Danio rerio: one gene and its partner. Each later gene encodes a partner of the first gene's protein in a complex. Links are inferred from orthologs where the notes say so. Each region holds a gene or a part of one and is shown in the gene's direction. Other genes may lie near its edges.

Region 1 (3,931 bases):
TATTCACATCTGTACCCCAGAGCACCTCTTTCAGGGGGACTCAAGTACGGTTCATGGGTGCGCACCCGAGTTCAGAAAACACGTTCACACTAGCTAAACGCAGGGGTCACCAAACTTGTTTGGAGGGCCGGTGTTCTGCAGATTTTAGCTCCAACCCTAATCAAACACACCTGAACAAGCTAATCAAGGTCTTACTAGGTATAATTGAAACATATAGGCAGGTGTGTTGAGGCAAGTTGGAGCTAAACCCTGCTGGGACACCGGCCCTCCAGGACCGAGATTGGTGACCCCTGGGCTAAACGTACCATACTATGACGTCAAACAAACCCGGGTGCGGACCAGAAGTGCTAGTGTGAAAGCTTTTACAAATATTACAGCTTTTATTTATGCTAATTTGACATGTTTTGGATGATTTTCCTGTGGTTTTATAGTAAAACCAGTTTTGGAAAATTTAAATATTCATATTAAACATGAAAATAGTATTTAGTTCATTTTCATAACACAACATTCAAGCTATTTTAAATTATATTTAATAATTTAAAAAACTACACTTAAGCTTAAGATGTGCATATTTCCCAATGGCGTTAAATATCTTAATAACAGTTAAATCACCATTATATAAGGGATATGATAATATGGTTACAACCAAATGTTTATGAAAAGATCTCTGTCTAGAGACACGAAGCATACATCAGTTATATTACACGATAAGTGCATGACAAACACAAATAGCTCTAACTACATTAACCCTTTCCAAACGTCACATTACCTTCACTGAATCCCTTCAAAATCTTCCCTCAGTCACTGAACACCGGCCGCTCCACAAGCCGCCAAAACATTAGTCCACAAGCACAATTTAGAGTTTAGCGAACTTTAGATTTACCCCAGAGCATTTAAACGAATCATATATTATAAATAGCAGTAAATCAATGTGTGTAACGGAGGCACTATAACACATTTATTCACCACAACCGTGATCGGCATGCGGCATGTTTTTCAAACACCCCCAAACGTCATCATCACGCGCCACGTGGGTCCTTTTTCTGTTCCCGTCGCGACCGGTGGTTCTGGAAGGTTCTGCGTGAGATTTTCGGAGCGGATCGTAATCTGAGGCCATCCGTACCGGACAGACGTGCTAGAGACACCGGGAACCGTCCATCTGCGTCTGTGATCTCCGCGGATTAAAACCATATAAATATTAGCAGCCATGCCTGAAGCCGTCGTGGCTGCAAGCGGGATCAAAAACAAAGGAAGCGCGTATGTGGACCGGGACAAACCTGCCCAGATCCGCTACAGCAACATAAACGCTGGGAAAGGTGAGAAATCTGATCGTTCAGGAGGAGTTTTTATTGTAAAACACTGACAGGGACTTGTTTTATTTTACTGGTATACCTCATGACAATGTAGCGGAAGCGTGAGCCCATTAAATTGCTATATCGTCATAAACATGGCCGTATCTGTAAAAATAATAATATTTAGATTTTTGCAGAAGTGAATGTTTTTGAAATTAGATGTGAAGTTAAATCTGGTTATTACAATGCAGATTCACATGAGTCCATATAAGGTGTGGCCTTCTTTATGACAACACATGTAACGGTAGCTAACGTTACACTAAAAAGTAACGTACGTTATTGGTGCATATTTGTGTGATTGTTATTAGTGTAATTAAAAAATGTTCATCTCACCAATTTCTGTTAAGGAAAATGAGGCTTCTTAAAATAAAATAATACATTGTATATAATCAGTGCTCAGCATAAATGTGTCTAAAGCACATCACATAAAAACCCTCACAGGTCTCTATTTTAAAATATTATTTTTTATATGACGTCTTACAATAATATATTTGTGCATATCCATTGGTTTAGTCAGTGCCAAAGTCAAAAACGGGAACTATCAGTCCAAATATTAGTACATCTGTTATCAGTGCAGCAAATACAGCACGTGTTGGGGAAAATATTTTAAAAATTGTAATAAACAGAAAAATACAAAATTAAGTAGAAATCTTGTACTTAGTTTTTTTTTTTTTTTTTTGCCAATAACTTGATTTTAAATGCATTATCTTTTAGTTTTTAAAGATGTATGATGACCAAACAGTATTTCAGGCTCTGCTGCGATAATTACAGTTGCTATCAAGATTTTTTGCTGTATGGACACGAGTGAATGTCAGCAAGTGAGGATTGGTGGCTAATGATGAATCCTTTTTCTATTGACAGCTGTCGCAGATGCCATCAGAACAAGTCTGGGCCCTAAGGGCATGGATAAAATGGTATGTTTGCCTTTTTTTTTTATTTGTCTAAATCTCCTGACTTTATATGTATTTATTTCATGACTTGAATTGTATATAAGTGACTGTACTGTCTGTAGCCTGAGTAAATAATTGAGTTTTCTGCAGATCCAGGATGGGAAAGGAGACGTCACCATCACTAATGACGGAGCCACGATCCTCAAACAGATGCAGGTGCTGCATCCCGCAGCCAAAATGGTAAATCACAGTTGTTTTCCTTTATTTAGGTGAAATAACCTGAACATGTTTGTTTTTGATTGACATTGTTAGACTTTCTACGGAGCTTGGCCTTGTTAGTTCATTAATAATGCTTTGTATAAATGCTTTGATACAGATTACAAAAGCACTACAAGAGGAATGTAAATATACCAGAAATACAGACAATATAGTTAATAAATGATGAACAGATAAAAAAAATAATAATATAAAAATACTTTACAAATGAAGGCAAAAAAAACTGCGTTAGCCAGAAGTTCAGTATGTTGGTGTACTTCTATCTGAAACTGAATATTAAGTAGGGGGCGGGGCTTTCTATTTCGCATGAAGCTGCGGTCACACTGCACTTTTCTCCCCATAGACTTTCATTCATATGCACTTGAATGCGTCAGATCGGAAACGCAAGCTCGTGCATCAAGTTTTGCAGTTTGCTGCATCGGAAAGTTTAAGCTTGGCGAACTCTGACCTGCGAAATCACATCACTTGACTGCATGAGACCAATCGAGGATCAAAACATGACCTCTCTGGACAGAACTTTAAAATACGGACCAGTCGCTCGCTTTTTTAAATGTCTAATCATCTTGTTTAATCCCGGTCTTTTTTGCAGTACCGTACTACAGAATTTTGCTCACACAAACTCTAGTATGACAGCAGCTTTATTCGCTCATAGCAAATTAACAGTAAGAGAGGCGTGGCTAAGAATATTTTGGCTGAAGCATCAAACTGACATCCTCAGAGAATTGGCCAATCCAAACACAGAAGCAAATGGTCAGACTTTGATTGAAGATTACCAAAATAAACATTTAGAACGGATTAATTGTTTACCTAAAAATTAACAAAGTGCACCAGCAAAATAAACAATGCAAGTTCAGATTTCACACTGACTTTAGGTGAGATGATGTTATACTAAAAGAAGTCACCTCAATTGTGAGAGCAGTGCTTTTGTTTTGAATTGCGTCTTGACTTTTAAGAATTGAATCAAATTGCAAATGATTCCCTCTGTATATATCCTGATAATATCTGCATTGTAATGGGATATCTGTGGGTGTTTCAGATGGTTGAGCTGTCTAAAGCTCAGGATATCGAGGCTGGTGACGGCACTACATCAGTGGTGGTGATTGCTGGAGCTCTTCTGGATGCCTGCGCTAAACTGCTACAGAAAGGTAAGCTTTAGTTTTGTTTAAGTGCATAATTAAAGGTCCTGTGAAATTAAATTAAATGTTGTTTAGATGTTAGTTTCAGTATGTTAGGATATCAATACGCTGATGTGCTCCAAATTAGTGACAATTTCCATTTAGAAGCATCGTATATACATCAAAAACTTGCACTTTTGGCTCGTTTCCACTAATGGCCCGTTTCCACTGACTGGTACAGTACGGGTCACCTTTAACAGGCTTGTGTTTCCACTACCAAGGGTACCCTTTTGGTGGG
Region 2 (3,641 bases), on another chromosome or scaffold:
TGTTTGTTTGTTTGTGTGTGTGTGTTTGTTTGTATGTGTGTGTTTGTGTGTGTGTGTGTGTTTGTTTGTTTGTTTGTGTGTGTGCGTGCGCGTGCGTGTGTGTGTCAGACAGAAGAGGCTGGCGGAGTGGAAAGCTAACCAGATGAAGAATGTTTTCGGGGAGCTGAAGGAGATCTCGGGGCAGGATTACGTGCAGGAGGTCAATAAAGCTGGAGAGGGAATCTGGGTGGTGCTGCACCTCTACAAACAAGGGTGAACACACTCACACACACTCACACACACACACACTCACACACACACACACACACACTGATGTTTAGTTGAGTTGTACTGTATTGTCAGTGTTTGAGTAATCAGTGAAGCGTTCGTCAGATGACTGTTGTGTGTGTTGTGGTTCAGGATCCCGCTGTGTTCGCTCATTAATCAGCATCTGGCTCAACTGGCCCGCAAGTTTCCTCAGAGTAAGTTCCTGAAGTCCATCTCCAGCACCTGCATCCCCAACTACCCCGACCGCAACCTGCCCACGCTGTTCGTGTACCGCGACGGAGAGATGAAGGCGCAGTTCATCGGCCCGCTGGTGTTCGGAGGGATGAACCTCACCTGTGACGGTCAGTGTATAAACAGATCAGCAATAAGACACCTCACTTACTGTCTGTCTTGTTTGTAGTCCAAATGTCTGTACATACTTAAATCAAGAAGCCTTTTCTAGACAAGCAAAAAATGTGTTGTTTTCAGAAATAATGAGTCAAAATGAAGAGAGTTTCTCCTTAAAACAAGCAGAATAATCTGACAATGGGGGAAGCCCAAAAGTGTAAATGAGATCAGGGAGATTATTTCACCTGTTTAAATAGAAAAAAAGCTGCTTTCCTGTAGTACTGACACATTGTGCTCAAAGTCAAATATTTAAAGTTTTTTTTCCTGATATACATATATATATATTATCATCTACACTCACCGGCCACTTTATTAGGTACACCTTACTAGTACCGGACCCCTTTTGCCTTCAGATCTGTCTTAATCCTTGGTGTAGATTCAGCAAGCTGCTGGAAATATTCCTCAGATTTTGCTCCATATTGTCATGATAGCATCACACAGTTGCTGCAGATTTGTCGGCTGCACATCCATGATGCCAATCTCCCGTTCCACCACATCCCAAAGCTGCTCTATTGGATTGAGCTCTGGTGACTGTGGAGGCCATTTGAGTACAGTGAACTCATCGTCATGTTCAAGACACCAGTCTGAGATGATTGAGCTTTATGACATGCTGCGTTATCCTGCTGGAAGTAGCCATCAGAAGATGGAGACACTGTGCTCATAAAGGGATGGACATGGTCAGCAGCAATACTCAGGTAGGCTGTGGCGTTGATGCTCAATTGGTACTAATGGACCCAAAGAAAATCTCCCCCACACCATTACACCACCACCACCAGCCTGAACCGCTGATACAAGGCAGGATGATCCATGCTTTCATGCTGTTGAGCCGAGCATCTGAATGTGTGAGCAGAAATGGAGACTCATCAGAGCAGCAACGTTTCTCCAATCTTCTATTGTCCAGTTTTGGTGAGTCTGTGTGAATTGTAGCCTCAGTTTCCTGTTCTTAGCTGACAGGAGCGGCACCCGGTGTGCTCTTCTGCTGCTGTAGCCCATCCGCCTCAAGGTTGGACGTGTTGTGTGTTCAGAGATGCTCTTCTGCAGAGCTCGGTTGTAGCGAGTGCTTATTTGAGTTACTGTTGTCTTTCTATCAGCTGGAACCAGTCTGGCCATTCTCCTCTGACCTCTGGCCTCATCAACAAGGCATTTGCGCCCACAGAACTGCCGCTCACTGGATATTTCCTCTTTGTCGGAGCATTCTCTGTAAATCCTAGAGATGGTTGTGAAATCCCAGTAGCTCAGCAGTTTCTGAAATGCTCAGAGCAGCCCGTCTGGCAGCAACCAAATCATTACCTGCCAGTACAGTCCTATGATTATATTCATATTTCCAATAATGTTGTGCTGAGATGGCCCGTCACTGTGAGGAAACTCATTATTGTGTAGATACCATGAATACAGTTTTGAGTTGTGATTATGTAATGACGTCATCACACAATGATGTCACTTCCTCATTTAACAATGTTTGCTCCCCCTTTAGCAACGTACTCTAGTTGGCAGCAGTGGAGGAAGTGTCAATATTTGGGGTTATATGGTTAATATCTGCGGTAATTGATCATGTTTGTGTGTTATTTCCCTTCTTGAGTATATGTGTGTGTGTGTTTGAGCAGAGCTGGAGTGGCGTCTGTCAGAGTCTGGAGCTGTGAAGACAGATCTGGAGGAAAACCCCAGAAAACAGATCCAGGATCAGCTGATGACGTCCATTCGCTGCTCGGCAAACACACACCGAGACGGAGAGGAAGACTCTGATGAAGACTGATGCTGAACACACACACACACACACACACGGAGAGGAAGACTCTGATGAAGACTGATGCTGGACACACTCCAAGACAGAGAGGAAGACTAATGTTGGAGGAACACACACACACACAAGTCCCTTACGAGTCTGTGTGCATTCGGGTTTAAGTCCCCACAAGGATATAAAAACTAGTACACACACACATACACTCTCTCTCTTTTGCACACAAATACACTCTGTCACACACAACAACACAATCTCACACGCAGGTCTGTTTTTAAGAGTTGTGGGGACATTCCGTAGGTTGTCATTGTTTTTCTACTGTACACACTGTATGTCCTCTCACCTGCGCCCAGGTTACAGGTTATAACTTCACCGTTACAGGAAGCTGTGCAGTTCTGCCTTCTGAAACCTCATTGTGTGATTTATAAGTACTTCTTAAGATATATAACTACTTTAGTACGTCCTCACAATTCACCTTCTCCAGCAGTGCCCATGACATTATACACTTCCCTTGTGTTTATAACACACACACACACACACACACACGTCTGTGCCATCCAGAAGAGCAGGAGTGGGTCTGAAACACACTTGTAAACCAGCCCTCAGTAAACAGACTGGTGGCCATGTTTGCGTTTGCTTTATTTTATATGAGATTTGTAATTATGCAGCCTTTTTCAGTTCAGCGCTCGTCTCCATTTAATATATAAAAGTGGTTTATTTGAGAGAGTTTGCAGTGTGTTTGTGTGTTAATGACTCTCTCACACACACATTTCCACTAAAGTGACGCTCGAGGACAGAAATAAAAACAACAATTTCAGCTCATTTCACTTCAATCTCCTGTCTGCGATGGACTTGAAGACCTTCAGCAATAATAGAGAAAACAGCAGCAAGCATGAGGTTACGTTTATTAAAAGAGCTTTAATGAAATCAGGTGCTGTTCATGATGTTTGTAGATTTACGGAGTCAGAGAGAATCCCAGATATGAACAGAGGATGTCTGTGGAGGAGAAGAACACATTCATTTACACAATTATCTCATACCTGAGTACAGGACTCGCTCCAGAATAGCAGTGCATTTACACCATGTGCCTTCATTTTCCTGGATATATAATAGATGTGTCATTTACAGTAAACTTAATCCATTATTATTGTGAACTAATGCAAGACTGGAAACGTTTGTTGCTAATCGTTTAACTTAATTTTTAAACGAATAACAGTTGATGATAACAGAATTGATAATAGGAATCAAC

What was found.
Region 2: the proteins of cct4 (region 1) and pdcl3 are in contact, whole or in part, in a cryo-EM structure (PDB 8I9Q), measured with the Homo sapiens proteins. The link is inferred for Danio rerio from reciprocal best matches to the Homo sapiens genes CCT4 and PDCL3. Residues at the interface, in NP_006421.2 of Homo sapiens: Val266, Gln271, Met272, Leu276, Glu279, Arg280, Leu312, His315; in NP_076970.1 of Homo sapiens: Ala70, Ile71, Tyr74, Arg75, Arg78, Leu79, Trp82, Lys86.

Annotation. Positions count from the first base shown.
Region 1 is NC_133176.1:57,157,407-57,161,337, reverse strand, and holds the start of cct4 (T-complex protein 1 subunit delta), read left to right. Parts: upstream 1-1,051; 5' UTR 1,052-1,207; coding exon 1,208-1,316; intron 1,317-2,213; coding exon 2,214-2,266; intron 2,267-2,392; coding exon 2,393-2,482; intron 2,483-3,554; coding exon 3,555-3,663; intron 3,664-3,931. UniProt on the Homo sapiens protein: Component of the chaperonin-containing T-complex (TRiC), a molecular chaperone complex that assists the folding of actin, tubulin and other proteins upon ATP hydrolysis.
Region 2 is NC_133184.1:58,526,639-58,530,279, reverse strand, and holds the end of pdcl3 (phosducin-like protein 3), read left to right. Parts: intron 1-108; coding exon 109-252; intron 253-399; coding exon 400-608; intron 609-2,258; coding exon 2,259-2,407; 3' UTR 2,408-2,441; coding exon of another isoform or gene 2,442-2,462; 3' UTR 2,463-3,119; downstream 3,120-3,641. Other genes in the region: nms (neuromedin-S), read right to left, coding at 3,348-3,388. UniProt on the Homo sapiens protein: Acts as a chaperone for the angiogenic VEGF receptor KDR/VEGFR2, increasing its abundance by inhibiting its ubiquitination and degradation.